Linked DNA regions of Saccharomyces cerevisiae S288C. The protein of the gene in region 3 interacts with the protein of the main gene of each other region in a biochemical or structural test. Each region holds a gene or a part of one and is shown on either strand. Other genes may lie near its edges. The genes, in order: HSP60, JAC1, TIM50 and TIM17.

The links.
Region 1: the proteins of TIM50 (region 3) and HSP60 form a complex in vitro, tested with the Saccharomyces cerevisiae proteins (one study listed by BioGRID).
Region 2: the proteins of TIM50 (region 3) and JAC1 form a complex in vitro, tested with the Saccharomyces cerevisiae proteins (one study listed by BioGRID).
Region 4: the proteins of TIM50 (region 3) and TIM17 form a complex in vitro, tested with the Saccharomyces cerevisiae proteins (2 studies listed by BioGRID).

Annotation. Positions count from the first base shown.
Region 1 is NC_001144.5:662,784-668,041, forward strand, and holds HSP60 (chaperone ATPase HSP60), read right to left. Parts: upstream 2,220-5,258; coding exon 501-2,219; downstream 1-500. Other genes in the region: glycogen (starch) synthase GSY2, read left to right, coding at 1-50; sphinganine kinase LCB5, read left to right, coding at 3,061-5,124. UniProt on the Saccharomyces cerevisiae protein: May participate in assembly and/or disassembly of proteins imported into the mitochondrion. HSP60 are ATPases and have affinity for unfolded proteins.
Region 2 is NC_001139.9:458,610-461,398, forward strand, and holds JAC1 (J-type chaperone JAC1), read right to left. Parts: upstream 1,056-2,789; coding exon 501-1,055; downstream 1-500. Other genes in the region: casein kinase 2 regulatory subunit CKB1, read left to right, coding at 1-383; ATE1 (arginyltransferase), read left to right, coding at 1,245-2,756. UniProt on the Saccharomyces cerevisiae protein: Co-chaperone required for the assembly of iron-sulfur (Fe/S) clusters in mitochondria. Stimulates the ATPase activity of its specialized Hsp70 chaperone partner SSQ1, to mediate the transfer of iron-sulfur clusters from ISU1 to GRX5.
Region 3 is NC_001148.4:428,349-434,001, reverse strand, and holds TIM50 (protein translocase subunit TIM50), read right to left. Parts: upstream 4,064-5,653; coding exon 2,633-4,063; downstream 1-2,632. Other genes in the region: aldehyde dehydrogenase (NADP(+)) ALD6, read right to left, coding at 1-1,414; YPL062W (uncharacterized protein), read right to left, coding at 1,703-2,107; putative peptidylprolyl isomerase CWC27, read left to right, coding at 4,386-5,291; ESCRT-I subunit protein VPS28, read right to left, coding at 5,347-5,653.
Region 4 is NC_001142.9:144,267-149,142, reverse strand, and holds TIM17 (protein transporter TIM17), read right to left. Parts: upstream 2,043-4,876; coding exon 1,566-2,042; downstream 1-1,565. Other genes in the region: serine/threonine protein kinase YAK1, read left to right, coding at 1-1,176; IRC9 (Irc9p), read left to right, coding at 932-1,324; ROQ1 (Roq1p), read right to left, coding at 2,470-2,784; SFH5 (Sfh5p), read right to left, coding at 3,099-3,983; IDS2 (Ids2p), read right to left, coding at 4,442-4,876. UniProt on the Saccharomyces cerevisiae protein: Essential component of the TIM23 complex, a complex that mediates the translocation of transit peptide-containing proteins across the mitochondrial inner membrane.

The DNA.
Region 1 (5,258 bases), on a different chromosome or scaffold from region 3:
ATCCTGCAGCTGACGATGACGACGATGGCCCATATGCTGATGACAGTTAAATCCTATGAGGATATAAACAGTATTAAAAAAATCTTACCATAAAGACATACGACATTTCGAGGCGTTTTTGCTTTTCTTTTAACTTTCGTTGGCACAAACTGAAATATATGTGGAATGCCCTCTGAAAATATACTAGGAGTTTTGAGCGATCCAAACATTTTCTTTTCTTTTTTTCTCTTCCTTCTAGCGAAGTCCTCTTGCGTTAGCTGTAAACAAAATAAGTCAATTTCATTAATGAAAAGTGACATTATGGCGGTAGCTCTCTCTATCTTTGTTCAGTTATCAACATATAGTCATACTTAAAGATATAATAGCTCATAGTCATATATAGTTCTTTATACTTGAAAAAGTGATTCCTAAAAATCTCAACTTTTTTCACATTGTATTTACAAGATAATAAAATTATTACCATATTTAAACGAAAGATAAATTTTGAATTAAGGCGGTCGTTACATCATACCTGGCATTCCTGGCATACCACCTGGCATACCACCAGCGCCAGCAGCTGCTGGTGGTTCTGGGGCATCAACAATAGCAACTTCGGTAGTAGCTAATAGTGAGGCAACACCAGAAGCATCAACTAAACCGGATCTAACCACTTTAAATGGATCGATGATACCAGTGGCTAACATGTCGGTGTATTCTGACTTAGAGGCATCGTAACCCTTGGCAAAATCATCACCATATTCATCAATCAATTTGCCGATGATAACTGAACCTTCTTCACCAGCGTTTTCAATGATCTGCTTGGCTGGTCTTGTAATGGCCTTTCTTATGATATCGACACCCAATTTTTGATCGAAATTGTCGACAACAACTTCATCCAAAACTCTAGATGCCTTCACTAAGGCAGTACCACCACCTGGCAAGATACCTTCCTCAACTGCAGCTCTGGTAGCGTTCAAAGCATCATCGTAACGGTCCTTCTTTTCACCAACTTCAACTTCAGATGCACCACCGACCCTGATGACAGCAACACCCCCGGACAATTTGGCCAAACGCTCTTGCAGTTTCTCCTTCTCATATGAATTTGTGGTGGTAATGTCGATGGAGCCTTTGATTTGTTCAATTCTCTCTTGAATAGCTTCCTTTGGACCACTACCGTTCAGGATAACGGTGTCTTCCTTAGTAACGGTAATAGAGTCACAAGAACCCAAGTTTTCTATGGTACATTGTTCTGGTTTCAAATCCAACTCCTCAGTAAAAACAGTACCGCCCGTCAAGACTGCAATATCACCAATTGTATTCTTTCTATTATCACCGAAACCAGGCGCCTTCACAGCACAAACCTTAACTTGACCCCTCAACTTGTTCAAAATACAAGCCGCAAGAGCTTCACCGTCAACATCTTCAGCAATGATCAACAAAGGTCTTCTGCTTTGATTGGAAATTTCCAAAGCTGGCAAGATATCTTGAATGGAAGAAATTTTCTTTTCACTCAACAATAGCAATGGCTTTTCAAATTCCACCTTGCTCGACTTTGGATCAGTGATGAAGTATGGAGAAATAAAACCACGATCAAACCTCATACCTTCAGTAACCTCAAGTTCATCTTCCAATGTTCTACCTTCTCTGATAGTGATGACACCTTCTTTTCCAACCTTTTCCATAGCTGAAGCTAGTAACTTACCAACATGAGAGTCCCCATTGGCAGAAATGGTTGCTACTTGAGCAATTTCCTCAGATGTGGTAATTTCTTTCTTGTTGGCGCTCAAAAATTCAATCACTTTTTCAACTGCAACTTGAGAACCCCTTCTCAAATCCATAGGGTTACAACCAGCGGCGACATTTTTGACGGATTCTGTGAAGATGGCTCTACCTAAGACAGTAGCAGAAGTAGTACCGTCACCAGCAGCCTCATTGGTTTTGGAGGCAACTTCTTGTAGTAACTTGGCACCCATATTTTCAAACTTGTCCTTCAACACAATAGATTTGGCAACTGTAACACCATCCTTAGTAATCTTTGGAGGACCGAAAGGCTGTTCGATTAAAACGTTTCTACCCTTTGGACCCAAAGTAGCAGCAACCGCTTCAGCTAAAGTTTCGACACCCTTAAGAAGGGAGGCTCTTCCTTCTACACCGAATTTCAATTCTTTATGAGAGGAGTAAGCACGACGCAATAAAGGCCTTAAAGTAGCGCGACTACGAACAACGGATGATCTCAACATTTTGAAAACTTTTTTGCTTATGATGTTTTCTCGTGGGAATTTTCTTATATTATTCAAGGAAGTGCATGAAGACGCAACCACGACCTTACATAATGAATGTAAAACTTAGTCTCCTTCAATATATATACATGAATGTCCGTCTGGATTCTGCTCCGGGCAAAACGAAGCAAAATTAAAGTCACCCTCCCCATTTGGTTTTCTGGAAAATTCCACGAGGTCCGTATATGATGACATATACAGATGGGCGGCTATAAAGTAAGTTTCCAGAGGTAATACCAGGCAATAAACAGCTTCAATTGCTCGTAACACCATTGTATACCTACAAAAACAGTGGAATAGGGATGAGACATAACTGGCTGGAATTTCAACTGTACTTCTTTGCACAACTAGTCTTGGCGTTCTACTTGATCATTGCGCGAATGGATGCACTCGCAATAATTCCCAATAGTATAACAGGAGGAACATTTGGATGCATTAGGTATATTATTCATCTTCTTTATCATCAAAATTTTCTCTTCCTTTATGTTACTATGTTGCTTTCTTTTAATCTATGTTTTTTTCCCTTTCAGTTGCCACCGCTTTTCTGCAAGATTCATAGTTAGATTTGCAAATCAAGGTGTTTTCGGGCCTTGTTAAAGCCTTCGCAGGCGAAGAAGAAAGGGAACGTAAGCTGCGTGAGCCGAATCTATTTATACAAAAACAATCAAAAAAGTATAACTACAGCATAAACTGTTGTATATACGTGTTGCAAAATAGGAAAGAAAAGAAGAGTAAAAGGACTCTTGATATTATCTCGAAAAAACCACAAATAGTGTAAGATTTAAACAGTAAGCCAAAAGAGATGACTTTGAAACCTTCAAAGAGACGTAAGGGCAGGTCTCGCCATTCCAGGAAGAAGCAAATAACGTCAGCGATACTGACTGAGGAAGGAATAATGATCAAGGCAAAACCATCAAGTCCTTACACATACGCAAATAGAATGGCAGATAAACGAAGTCGCAGCAGCATTGACAACATCAGTAGAACTAGCTTTCAAAGCAACATCAGTAGAACTAGCTTTCAAAGCAACAGTGATAACAACAGTATATTTGAAACGGCTTCACTAATTAGCTGTGTTACCTGTTTAAGCGATACTGATACAATAGACAGATCGGAAACATCGACAACGGATACAAGTAAAGATGATCTTTCTGCTAATCCAAAACTTCATTATCCTTCGGTGAATGGTCAATTGCCAGCAAACACCGTTATCCCCTATGGACGAATTCTGGATGCCAGATACATTGAAAAGGAACCTCTGCATTATTATGATGCCAATTCATCACCCAGTTCACCTTTAAGCAGCTCAATGAGTAACATTAGTGAAAAGTGTGATCTTGATGAATTAGAGTCTTCCCAAAAAAAAGAAAGGAAGGGCAACTCGCTATCGCGAGGAAGTAACAGTAGTAGTAGCCTCCTGACTTCCAGATCTCCTTTTACGAAACTAGTAGAGGTTATATTTGCTAGGCCAAGACGGCATGACGTTGTACCCAAAAGGGTTTCATTGTATATTGACTATAAACCCCATTCATCTTCTCACTTAAAAGAAGAAGATGACTTGGTTGAGGAGATTTTAAAGAGAAGCTACAAAAACACTAGAAGGAACAAATCCATATTTGTGATCATTAATCCGTTTGGTGGTAAAGGTAAGGCGAAAAAACTGTTTATGACAAAGGCAAAGCCGTTACTATTAGCAAGTCGGTGTTCCATAGAAGTGGTTTATACAAAATACCCTGGTCATGCTATAGAGATCGCGCGGGAAATGGATATTGACAAATATGACACTATTGCTTGCGCTTCGGGAGATGGCATTCCTCATGAGGTGATCAATGGGTTATACCAAAGGCCTGATCATGTCAAAGCATTCAACAATATCGCCATTACAGAAATTCCATGCGGATCAGGTAACGCAATGAGCGTATCCTGCCACTGGACAAACAATCCTTCGTACTCAACTTTATGCTTAATTAAATCGATAGAGACTAGAATTGATTTGATGTGTTGTTCGCAGCCTTCTTATGCAAGAGAGCACCCAAAGTTATCATTTTTAAGTCAAACATATGGTCTCATTGCAGAAACTGACATAAACACTGAATTTATTAGATGGATGGGACCTGCAAGGTTTGAATTGGGTGTAGCCTTCAATATCATACAAAAAAAAAAATATCCTTGTGAGATATATGTAAAGTATGCTGCCAAATCAAAAAACGAGTTAAAAAATCATTACCTGGAACACAAAAATAAAGGGTCGTTAGAATTCCAGCATATTACTATGAACAAAGATAACGAGGATTGTGATAATTACAATTACGAAAATGAATACGAAACCGAAAACGAAGATGAAGATGAAGATGCGGATGCGGATGACGAAGACTCCCACTTGATATCTCGTGATCTGGCAGATTCTAGTGCTGATCAAATTAAAGAGGAAGATTTCAAAATAAAATATCCATTAGATGAAGGTATCCCTAGTGACTGGGAAAGATTGGATCCTAATATTTCGAACAACCTAGGTATCTTCTATACGGGTAAAATGCCATATGTGGCTGCTGACACTAAATTCTTTCCGGCAGCGCTTCCTTCAGATGGTACAATGGATATGGTTATCACCGATGCAAGAACCTCGTTGACGAGGATGGCACCAATCCTGCTGGGACTAGATAAGGGTTCCCATGTTTTACAACCGGAAGTCTTACACTCTAAAATTTTGGCATACAAGATAATACCAAAGCTAGGGAACGGCTTGTTCTCTGTCGATGGCGAGAAATTTCCTCTAGAGCCCCTTCAAGTCGAAATTATGCCACGCTTATGCAAGACGTTACTGAGAAATGGCCGTTATGTGGACACAGATTTCGATTCTATGTGACACTTTACTTAATCTTTTCCTTCGTACTGAACAATTAATCAAAAACTAGAATATGTCATTTCTATTTCTTCTATATTTTTTTTACGTTGTTGTTGTTTTTGTTGTTGTTTGATAACTTTATACACTCCATACTT
Region 2 (2,789 bases), on a different chromosome or scaffold from region 3:
AATTTGGAACGTGCCCCCGTTACTATTGTAATGGCATGCAGTTGCTGCCTTGTGGGTTGAGCGATACAGTTGGGAAACACACCGTAAGGTTGTACTGTCCCAGTTGTCAGGACTTGTATCTTCCCCAATCATCTAGATTCCTGTGCTTAGAAGGTGCATTTTGGGGGACAAGCTTCCCTGGTGTGTTCTTGAAACATTTCAAAGAATTGGAAGAGTATGTGGAAAGGAAAAGTAAAGAGTCCTACGAGTTGAAAGTTTTTGGGTTCAGGATAAATGATGAGGCAGTATCTGGTCCTAGAATGAAGTGGTTGAGACAATATCCATCCACGGAGGAGGACTGGGAAGAATTTGCCAAATGCGAGTTCGAGACACCGGCGGTTTAACCCTTGATTTATTTTCCTCTTTGCCCTACCATATACATATGTACTTTACCTATTTACATTGTTTCAGTTTTTATATCACCACTATTATTATTATTACTATTACCACTTTGGAGTACTTTAGTGATTCATTTCCAATTGTTTTCCTGGAGCCCAGTCTTTGAATGCCTTGGCCAAGTTGTACCAGTACTTTAGCTCCACGGTCAACTTCACTGCGGCGGCGTAATCCTTGTCATTGTAGCATTGTCCCAACTGGGCTTCAATATCTTGAATTCTTTCCTTGTTTTGCTTTTCAAGCAGCTTCACACCAGCTTCGTCGTCCATCTGGGATAATTCATCATGGATGTCTAGAACTTTCAATAGTAACTGTGGATCACTGGTAGTTACTTCATTTGAGGTCTGTTCTTGCGTCAAATCGATATTGCGCAAGAGTTTTAGCATATATTGTGACCTTCTAAGGGGATCTTTGAGAGTATGGTAAGCTTGATTAAGAGTTGATGACTGTTCACTACCTTGTTGGGCCATGTCTGGATGGTGCTGTGCTTGTAATTGCCTATACTCCTTCCTTAATCTGGATTGATCGATAGTCCAAATGGGTAGCTTTTTGGGGAAGGTCTTTGGGAACAGCTCGTAAAATGTAGAAGTGAATCTTCGTTGAACCAAGTATTTCAACATTGTGCTTGTGGGGCTTCTTGATACCTGTTTCCATTATCAGCCTCAGCCTTTAATTTCGCATCATCTTTTTAGTTTCCTTTTCTTTTTCGTTTTTTTTTTACCTATTGTTAAGAATTACGCTGTGAGTTTCATTGCTATTGTTACAAAAGACAAGATAGTCTCAAGATACAACTGAGAAGAAGCACAATTATGTCCGATAGATTCGTTATTTGGGCTCCCTCGATGCACAATGAACCTGCCGCAAAGTGTGGGTATTGTCACGGTAATAAGGGGGGCAACATGGATCAGTTGTTCGCATTGGATTCGTGGGCTCATCGTTATATGAACAAAATGGACGTTGTAAAGATTGAAAACTGCACAATTGGCTCTTTCGTGGAACATATGGATGTAGCCACGTATGATCGCATGTGTAATATGGGATTTAGAAGGTCTGGTAAGTTTCTTTATAAAGTGGACCCGTTGAGGAATTGTTGTAGGTTATACACCATTCGAACTGCCCCTCAAGAATTGAATATGACAAAGGAATTGAAAAAATGCATCAGCCGCTTTGCTACTAGAATAACAAGTGAGGACTACTGCCCAGCCGCTGTTGCAAGCAGTGATTTTGTGGGCAAAATTGTTAATGCAGAGATGAATTCTAAAACATTCTATACCCGATTTGAGCCTGCACTTTATAGTGAAGAAAAGTATCACTTATTTGTCAAATATCAGGAAAAAGTGCATCAAGACTACAATAATTCGCCGAAGTCCTTTAAGCGATTCCTATGTGATACGCCCTTTGGCCCTGAAGCGGTGTTGGGGACACAAGAATCATGGGAGCAGTTAAACAATTGGCAGCGAATGAAGCCAGGCGAGAAACTGAAGCATATGGGTCCTGTGCACGAATGCTACTACTATGAGGGTAAATTAATTGCCATCACTGTGTCAGATATCTTGCCCAGTGGTATATCTTCGGTATATTTTATTTGGGATCCAGACTACAGTAAATGGTCCCTAGGGAAGCTCAGTGCTTTGCGCGATCTTGCCATCATTCAAAGGACAAATCTGCAATACTATTACCTGGGGTACTATATTGAGGACTGTCCGAAGATGAATTATAAAGCAAACTATGGTGCGGAAGTACTGGATGTGTGTCACAGTAAATATATCCCATTGAAACCCATTCAGGATATGATTTCTAGGGGCAAACTCTTTGTCATAGGTGAAGAAGAGACGAAAGTTACTAAGGAGCTCTACCTCGTTGACTCTGAAACCGGAAGAGGGGAGGGATTTCCCACTGATAATGTTGTCAAGTACAAGAATATTGCTGAGGAAATATACGGTGTGGGAGGGTGTGCGTTTAAATCTGCAAATGAATCTGCATTGGAATTGAAAGAACTTTACGGTATACCGTACGAAGAGGAAGATTTAGATACCATCTACCATTTGAAAGAACACAATGGCCATGCTCCAAATGGTATTCCTAATGTGGTGCCGGGATTACTCCCGCTATGGGAATTGCTGGACATTATGCAATCTGGCAAGATCACTGACCTGGAGGGAAGACTATTTCTCTTCGAAATCGAAACGGAGGGGATTCGACCATTAATTAACTTTTATAGCGAACCTCCGAATGTCAAGAAACGTATTTGTGACGTGATACGGTTATTTGGCTTCGAAACTTGTATGAAAGCCGTCATTTTATATAGTGAGCAAATGTGAGCCTTCAACACACTATTCTAATAACAATCCTAA
Region 3 (5,653 bases):
CACCGAATGGAACTCTGGAGTCAAAATCGTTGTATGTGTTGATCCAGACGGTACCGGCCTTCAACATCTTGGCCACCTTCAAACCTGTGCTCAAAGATTCTGTTTCGATACCAGAACCTAGACCGAATTCAGAGCTGTTAGCCATTTCGACACCTTCTTCTAAAGTCTTGAACTTTGCGACAGTGACAACTGGTCCAAAAATTTCTTCCTTAACAATTCTCATGTCTTCATTAACATCGTAGAAAACGGTTGGTCTGATGAAGTAACCCTTGTCACCAACTTTTTCGCCACCAGTTAAGATCTTGGCGCCTTCTTTCTTACCGATATCGATGTAGTTCATAATTGTGTCGAATTGTTGACGGTTAGTGATAGCACCTTGGAAGTTAGCCTTGTCAAATGGATTACCAACTTTGATTTCGGTTTCCAAGTAAGCCTTGAAAGCAGCCAATAGTTCGTCGTAAATACCTTCTTGAACGTAAATTCTAGAACCAGAGGAACAAATTTGACCAGCGTTCTTGAAAATACCGTTTACTAGATTTGGTAAAGTCTTCTTAATGTTAGCATCGTCAAAGACCAAATGGGCGGACTTACCACCTAGTTCCAAAGTGATTTTCTTCAAGTTAGATTCAGAAGAGTCGACAGCAACACTCTTACCGACTTCTGTAGAACCGGTAAAAGCCAGCTTTCTGATTCTTGGGTCGTTGGTCAAAGCAGCACCAACAGTTCTACCAGGACCTGGAACGATGTTGACGACACCAGCTGGAATACCAACCTTCTTACATAAAGAAGCAAAGTATAGGGCATTTAAAGGTGTGACAGCAGCGGGTTTCAAGATACAGACGTTACCCATGGCCAATGCTGGGGCGATCTTCCAAGCCAACATCATTATTGGAAAGTTCCATGGAATAATTTGACCACAGACACCGATTGGCTCTAAGGTGGTGAAGTTCATGTAGCCGTCACCGGTGTTGATTGTTCTACCGTTGACTTTGTCGGCATAGGCAGCAGCATCTCTTAGACAGTTGATTGCAATGGTAACATCCCCACGGGCTAAGGCCAAAGTTTTACCATTGTCCAAAGCTTCAATGGAAGAAACCAAGTCAATTTGGCTTTCCAATTCGTCAGCCAACTTACTTAGTAGACGGCCTCTTTCTCTTGGGTCTTGGGTAGCCCATTCAGTGTCGTGGAAAGCACGGTCGGCACATTCGATAGCATATTCAACATCTTCAGTGGTGGCAGAAGAGACCTCACAAACGGTGTTTTCAGTGGAAGGATCTTCGACGGGATAGGTCTTACCGTCTTGAGCTTTCATAAACTTGTTGTTAATGAATAGACCGGTTGGTTGCTCGTATGTCAAACCATTTGGAAGTGTGATCTTGACTGGTTCAGCAGTGTCAAAGTGTAGCTTAGTCATTGTATTCTGATAGTATGTGTTTGTGTATGTTAAAGATGTTTCTTGATGTTTTTTCTTCTATAAAACAAGAGAAGTAAAAGACTGAACACTTCGAATTGAATATTACCAAACTTCTTATTACATTTATATATGATATCAAGAACTTGTTAAACACGCCAGGCTTGACCTCGAACGGTGTTTTGATGTGTTACTCAACCGTTAAATCGCTGTTTGAGCTGACTAACAAGGTTGCTTGTCTTGAATCCCCCTCACCCCGAATTTATTACGAATTTGCCCACATGGTCGGTGCTATATCGCATTCGTTGCACTCACCGTTCCCAAGAGGAGATCAATGTTACATACGTTCCCGATGCCCAAAACGGTAAAGTTAAAGCGATATAGAAGCTGGATGCATATCTTTTTACACGTCCGCGGCGCGCCCACCCTCTTTTTTCTTTCTGGTTCCTTTTCGGTCGTTTTTCTTTTGTCGGCTGCCTTATTCCCGTGGGGATGAGGCGAGCGCCGTTTCGGCTTGGATACGCCATATGCAACAATGACGTCTCGGTGCTGGCCATGCCCCTCATTTATGTCGAAAAACAGGCCACTGCCCCTCTTTTCTGCGGCCCGGGCAAGAGGAGACCTCATCAGCCACGGCGACGTGCTGGTTGCTTCTACAATGGTATCTTCACCTTTTACATAATCCAATTCTATCATGCCCTTACGTGAGGGGCAGTGTCGTATGTGACGGCAGTTCCTGACCTGATAGTGTGTCTATTTGTCTGTTAGCGTCCGCGGAAAGTTGTGAGTACGGTTTTTAGTTTAGTTTCCACCCGGGATTATACTTTTGGCTACCCTGACTGGAAGGCGGCGGCCTTATATTCGAATGAACATGCCAGGCATTGTACGAATTGAAACTTTTTTCGTATGACGTTACGAATAATTCCATTCGGCCTAAATATTCTTTTTTTTTGGATTTTTATGCTAGTGAAGGAATATGAGATATGCAAAGCGCATCAGATCATTAGGTGTGTCTACATCGTTAAAATTTAACATAGAAAAAATAAATAGGCGTGTTTGTACGTAGTATGGTGATGTTAGGAGGTGCAGTGGTAGTAAGTTAGCAATATACATAAGTTTTATTCACATGACAGTAACAAAATGAGGGTGTGGGGAGTGTACAGGTACATTTACATACACACATAGATACGTAGATACATGAGAAGAGGGTTTACATGAAAATTATTTGGATTCAGCAATCTTCTTCTTTTTCTTTTCCTCTTCAAATAAGGCGTCTACCTCCTTCTGCTTCTCCAATTGTATTTTCATTTGTTCTTCTGGCGAAGGCAAGTTACCTTCAACATAGTCTTTCAGCGTAAATGTTTGCCCGCCCATTTGCTCCTGCTGTATTCTAATTTTTTCCTTTTCTTCCTCAATCATCTTCATGAACATTAAATAGTTCTTTTGTCCTTCTTCATGAATCAAATCGAGCGGGAACTTGGTGCTGCCGCCCAGGGAATTTCCGAGACCTAGTGCCGTCATTGCCCAGTTGCCACCAGATTTATGATCTCCGTAAAATTTATCCTTCAATTTTTTCACACGATGATCAAATTCTTCTGCTAGGTTCTTCTTGTCTTCAAAGCTGTTCAAGATTGGTCTAACATCCTTGGTTTGTTGAGTGGCAAGGTACTCCAAAAATGGAATCAATCTTACTAATTTGTCATCAGCTTCACCATTCCATGGCTCCATTGGAATAGCATTTTCAGGTTGCAATTTGTAACTGTTAGGGTCAGTGTCAATAATGATTACTTTACTCAAATCTCTATTCAATTTTGACAGATCCTTAATGTGCACACCGTCTTTGTAAACACAGTGTTCCTTGAACAAATTATAAGATACGAATGCATGGATTGGATCTAATTTTTCAGCGATTTTGTCAGAGTACATCATATAGTTGGATGAAAACAAAACAATTTCGTAATACTGCGATAGGTAACCCAAGAAGTAGTCAGCACCAGGTCTTTTGGCCGTTCTCCAACCATGCTTTTGAGACCACTCAGAATGAACCAAAAAATCTTCCAATGTGATAACAAGAGTTAATGGCCTTTGGTACGGTGGTGGTGGTGGTGGAGGTAGTAAATCAGGGAAAGGTGGCTCTTGGAAGTAGGTGAACATTGAGTTGAACCTGGCCTTGAATCTTTTATACATAAGTGATAAAGTGTAGCCATTATCGATGTCTTTCTTCAATTCTTCAGACTCTTGAGGCTCCCAATCCCTTGCCATGTAGATTGCAGTACCTGTCAACGCAGACAACGAAAAAATGTAAAACCAGTTAGCATACTTTTCTCTTTTAATATCTGTAGAAGTTTGTCTTTTTCTTCTAGATTTTTCACTTTTGGAAGAAGGTTCATTCTTGTCCTCTCCTCCTTCTCCTGATGTTTCCTCGTTTTTGCCTTGGCCCTTCTCATCGACGTCAACACCGGCCTTGAACAGCATATCATCTGTAAGAATGGATTTAGGCTTGTCGTCTTTTGTTTCTTTTTGTAAAAAACTTGAATAACTTGTTAAAAGTCTTCTGGATGCTTGAACCGATGTTAAGGTGTTGGCGGCAGATGGCACAACCCTAAGAGCCCTTGAATTTAGTCTCACCGAATTTCTTAAAATGGACAGCATTGCAAGCGGGTGATTTTTGGAAGTTTATTCTAGCTGTGATGTGCTAAAGCAAAAAATCAGTTATGCGCCAAAAGCTAATCACGAAATTGAGTGGATGCTAGAAATTACCGTTCCGATTAATCCTGACGTTATGTTCGTTTGCTGAATATATCTCACTTTACTGAAAGAACTTCCAATTTTTTTTTTTTCCTTTTCCGCTGTAAAGCGTCTGAAGAGAAAAAAAGGTTCAAAATGTCCTGAGAATAATTTATTGAATAATTTATTATTCAAAGCGTATTACAGGAAACATGTATGATGAGTTTTAAACCAAAGTAAGAATGCTATGTCCAGTAATATAGAACCTCAGACAACAGCTAAATGTATACTGTATACAACAAAGGGGAACATTGCCATTGAATTATGGGCTAAAGAATGCCCTGAGACATGTAAGAGGTTCTTATCTATGCTCTCAGATGGCACATTCACCAATGGAGAATTTAAAGAGTTAAAGCCAACACAGTGGCTAATGTTTAATGCAAATAGTACTGGTGAGTACCGTACAGTTGCTGAGGAAAAAAATCCTCGTATACGCTTCAATAGAGATGGACTCTTGGGATGGGATAGACGAAGGAACACATGGTTTATAACTGTGCTGGCGGATTCTAAGCACGTACTGAACGATTGTAATGTATTTGGCAAAATTGTTGGGAAATCTATTTACATCTTTAGAGAGATCTTGGGCGGCGAAATTGAAGCTTCCTCCCGTGACAATGATGTCAAACGATTCATGTATCCTGCAGTTTTGAAGGATGTTGAGATTACCATACCATTCTTTGAGGACATCTTTGGATCAAAAAGAAGACTGGAAGATAATGAAAAAAAAGAACAAGAGCCGGCAAAGAAACTTGTGAAATCAGCAAAAGTAAAGATGGTTTATGAAGATGAGCAAGAGGATGATGATGGTGATGTTCAAAAGCTTAAGCCAAGAAAGAGAATGATTCTCCCAGCATGGATCAAAGATGATAGTCGCAGTGAAGGAATTAAACTAGACGCATCCTTAGATCAGCCACAAGAGGCACTAATTAGGGAAAAGACGGAGTTGCATGATAATGTTGATGAGGCAACCACTAAAGAAACGGAAAGTCAAGAAAACATCAAGGAAGAACCAATGGATAAAAGAGAGCGGGAAACTTTGGCAATGTTGTCAAAATTTCAAGAACGAATAAAAAACAAGAATATTCTAAAGTGAAATAGAAACGCTTGTGTACTTATATATGTTATCATAATTTCTATTTGTTTATTTCTTAATCCAGTAAAGCATAAAAACTTTTATAGGCTAGTTCTAGATCAAACAGAAGTTCTCTAATTTGTGTTTCAGTTAAAGTGTCACCAATTGAGAGTTTATTTATTCTGACAATCCAGTCAATGAGTTTTGATCTATTCTCAAAATCATCCCTGGTGACGCGATTTATGCTGATTAACAGTTCAGCCAATAAGGGATGTAATTGATCTTTTGCATTATAGTTTAGTTTCAAAGCATCCATTACAGTGATGAAATTACCAGTGGCCTCAGCGACGTATTTAGCATTAAACTTTTTGTCGCTAGAAGAA
Region 4 (4,876 bases), on a different chromosome or scaffold from region 3:
TTAGAGCTACTGAATCAAAAGATAGACCCTACTAATAAACATCATTTTTTAAGGATGTATGACTCCTTTGTCCACAAGAACCACTTATGTTTAGTGTTTGAATTACTAAGCAATAATTTGTACGAATTATTAAAACAAAACAAATTTCATGGGCTCTCTATACAACTTATCAGAACATTCACCACTCAAATACTGGATTCGTTATGCGTTTTGAAGGAAAGCAAACTGATTCATTGCGATCTGAAGCCAGAGAATATCTTGCTCTGCGCACCTGATAAGCCGGAATTGAAAATTATTGATTTTGGCTCATCTTGCGAAGAGGCAAGAACCGTTTATACATACATCCAGTCCAGGTTTTATCGTGCTCCTGAAATTATACTGGGTATACCGTATTCAACCAGTATTGACATGTGGTCGTTAGGTTGTATTGTTGCTGAATTATTTTTGGGTATACCGATCTTCCCAGGCGCTTCTGAATATAACCAATTAACAAGAATAATAGACACGCTTGGATATCCTCCATCGTGGATGATAGATATGGGTAAAAACTCTGGAAAATTTATGAAGAAATTGGCACCAGAAGAAAGTTCTTCTTCTACACAAAAGCATCGTATGAAAACTATTGAAGAGTTTTGCAGAGAATACAATATAGTGGAAAAGCCCAGTAAACAATATTTTAAGTGGAGAAAGTTACCAGATATTATTAGAAACTACAGGTATCCTAAAAGCATACAGAACTCCCAAGAACTTATCGACCAAGAAATGCAGAATAGGGAGTGTTTGATCCACTTTTTAGGCGGTGTGCTAAATTTGAACCCGTTAGAAAGATGGACACCACAACAAGCTATGCTACACCCCTTCATAACAAAGCAGGAGTTTACAGGTGAGTGGTTTCCTCCAGGATCGTCTTTACCGGGTCCTTCAGAAAAACATGACGATGCAAAAGGCCAGCAAAGTGAATATGGAAGTGCGAACGACTCTAGTAACAATGCAGGCCACAACTATGTCTATAATCCTAGCTCTGCCACTGGTGGTGCTGATAGCGTCGACATTGGTGCTATCAGTAAAAGGAAGGAGAATACATCTGGCGACATCTCCAATAATTTTGCTGTTACTCATTCTGTTCAAGAAGGGCCAACAAGCGCGTTCAATAAACTTCACATTGTCGAAGAATAAATCGTTATTTTGTCTGACTTTTCTTAACTACCCATTTCATTTTATTACGGCTTGGTGCCATAATGATATACTAAATAAATATGAATTTTGCCTTTTCTTAATTTTCCTTATACGTATAGTCATTACAATTAATAAAGTAACATTATAAAGTTTCTGCACTAGCTTTTGGCTTGTTGATATTTTCTCTTCAGAGATGAAGTATGGTACTTTTTCAATATATAATATGTACATGGTTGAGAGAAATGGTTGGTAATCTTGAAATAAAAGGCTGAAATAAAGTAAAAACGTAAAGGAGGCTAGTGCGATACGTCATTTATGTAACAAAAAACATGCCGAATAAGGGTACTTCCAACAACGATGAAAAAATGGCTCATATAATGTCTACATGCCTAAGCTTGCAGAGGTTGAGAGGAAGGTGCTTCGGGCAAAGGAGGAGCCATAGGTTTGGCTTGCCAAGCAGCATATCTTTGAAACATTAGTCCCACACCTTCAATCACACCCAACAAACAAGCACACGTGATCGAACTGTTCCTTGTATGCCTCCAACCACCTCTTACAGCTAAAGCGCCACCAGTGAAAAACCCTGCAATGATAGCATTCCATGGGTCCTCTCTCTTTCTAACGGCCTTCACAGCGCAATCAAAAGTCGAAAATAAACCACCCCACACACCAAAATTACCACCCAGTACGGGAGCACGCGCTTTAATGGCGCTCATAGCTCCTGAACCACGCTCACCTAATGGCGAATTTCTAAAACCTTTAATCCCATGCCAAACAACACCACCAATGGCACCCATGGCAAAAGCACCACCGAAATCATTTAGTATGACTATAGGACATGGATCTCTCGAATGATCGGCTGACATAACGCTCCCGTGTACTCTATTTTTCTTAACGCTTTCTTCTGAACTTGACTCTTTCACAGCTTTTCCATCTTTTGATGAGAATAGTGCTTTTATCCTCTGGATTTGGCATAAAAATGGAAACTTTGGCGCAAGAATGCCGGGTTACCCACTTTGTTGAACAATAGCAGTAAAAAAGGCGTCCGATGAATGTTCGTTGTATACACCCGAAGATTTCTGTATTCAATGATATATATACATATCTATATGAATATACTATACACTTTATGCACAGAAATTAATGATTTGATAAAGTCCCGCTATCCTTCCGTGGCGCCACTGACAGTGGCATGTTATGAAATGCATATAATCGTTACAACCCCGAACCCGTGCGTGGGCTATTCAGTATAACCCGAATGGTATTGTTAGATATGCTTTATAATGCTGGAGTTCATGAACAACGGCGAGAGTGAACGTCTCCACCCAGACTGCTGCCGTGGCCGTATCGACTGCCGTTTTCATCGTCACCATGATTATTGTTGTTGTTATTATTACTGCTTGTGTTTTCCTGTATGCCTAAATTAGTCAGCTCTACAAAGTAGTATATCACGCCAGGCTGTGTAGGCTGGTTATTGATCCCGAAATCGCCCATGGGAGACTCCTCTACCAAGGAATCCACTCTAGTCTGGTCCCGCTGGCTCCTGAGTATACTACTGTTGCTTTTTTTGTGTGTCCTGTATATTGTTGAAGTTTCCCTCCTTAACATCTTCTTCTTGTTATCTTATCTCTTGTTTTTGCTGACTTTTTTCCCTTGTAAATACCTTTATCTGCGATCTTGTTCACCTTCGGTGCGTTGTCTTTTATATAGGCGGATCTGATCGATCTGTATCCCTATTATTGCCATTACCTTCTAGAAACATTTTCGCAGCCCCTTCGTTTCGTACGGTGTTTTCTGAGCCATATAAGTGAAGATACGTGAGAGATAATACAGTTAGATGGTGATTTACCTGAATATAAGGCAAAAATAAGAAATTATTATAGGGTTTATATAAGAGACTATTATTAGATCATGCCAACAAATCACTCAACGTCCTCGATGATTTGTTTTTGTAAAATGTAAAGGCCGTATTCTGTTGGATGGACATTTGTGACATTTTGCTTGGTCAGATTGTTCTTCTTATCTTTCCCGCCATACCCTTCATATGGGCAATCCTTCAAGTATTGACCCAACTTGCTGCCGTCGGTTAATACCACGAACTTCTTTCTGGTGGTTTCGTCAACGAACTTTTTGATTAAATCGTAAACCCAGCCGAAAACGGTGGGGACATTAACAAAATACTTTGCATATAACAGTTCTGGATAGTATTTTTGAAAGATTCCAATGACCGTCTTGCTACAGTTTTTAATGTCAGAATCCATTCGCCACACGGAGACGCCTTTATAATCGTGGACTTGGGTCATATAGTTGTTGTCGGAGCTGGTGAAATCTAATAAGCTCAAACCCTTTTCCATGAGCCCGATTCTGTAGCGTACAAACTTATCCACATTTTGAAACAATTCTTTTTTTTTGACCAGTTGGCCGTATAAGTTCCAAGTGACAGCCTTTTTATTTGCGTCGCCGTTTGCATCGAATGTCAAAATACCAACGTTTTGCAATTCTGTATTATGGACTTCCTTGTAGGCACAACTCAATGGGTTGAATTCCCTCCTCCAATTCAAAATATCGATCAGGTTCTGTACAATGGTGCTATATTCAAATTGATAGGCTTTGCAAAGTTTGTAGGTTAGACGATCGGCGATTTTTTCGTCATAGTATTTATCAACCTCCTCTTGTGTAAGACCTTCAGGATTCAACTTGTAACCATACAATTCATCGTATCCTGCACATTTTTCCTTGATAATACCAGGAATCGCTTTTTTAAGCTTATCGAAAACCTGCTTCTCACTGTCATTGTCGAATTTCATTTTAAGGATGTTAATTTAGTGAATTAATTACGATTGGGATTCTAAGTAGGAAAAAAAAAAGAGGTACAATTGCAATGTACAGCTCGTTTTTCTTGGTGCGATCACTAATTAGTAAAGCGATGGACATAGTTTTTTTTTTTCATTCCGCCCAATTCTAGCCACACCCGAGAATGTAGAAGTGCTAAAATAACCTTGAACTTTCAGATATAGTGATGATAAAGGAAACCAAAAAAAAAGGAATTAAAAAGAAGGATAATGACTATGTGGTAGTATACAAAAGGAAGTGATTACAAATACGGTGTACCGGCATGTTTCAGCAAAAAAAAATATAATTTTTTGTTATTATAACTGCATTTTAATGAAACACATTATAAGTATGATGGGATTAACTATGAAGAGGGTACCGGACCGCCTTTAATGAATATTGAAGAATTGCGGAAAAGCAGTACTATTCTTATTTAGTTTGCTTGGTTCAAAAAGTCTCGCCAAAGATCTAGCCACTTGTTCATAATAGATTCTCGATGTTGACCGGCAGCAATGTAGTTTTGTCTTTCCCAAGGTTTCAGGATTTTAAATTCGATTATCTTATAATTCAATCTATTCGCTGGCACGCTAGCTATGGGAACAGCACAGTATCCAACGCTATCTATATAACTCCATTTATCGCCAAACAATGCTTTCATAATCTGTAAATCGTTCATTTGATGAAACATCGACCTTTTACTTTCACCTTCAAAATCGTTCCCGTAAATAGTAAAGTATTCCTTAATGCACATTGCTACTGCCCTGTTCGGCTTCAGTATAATAATTTGAGGATCGTCATCATAATTTTCAGCGGAAGATTGGTCTTGGTTCACGCTAACGAGATCTTCATTTATATAATTTACCTTATT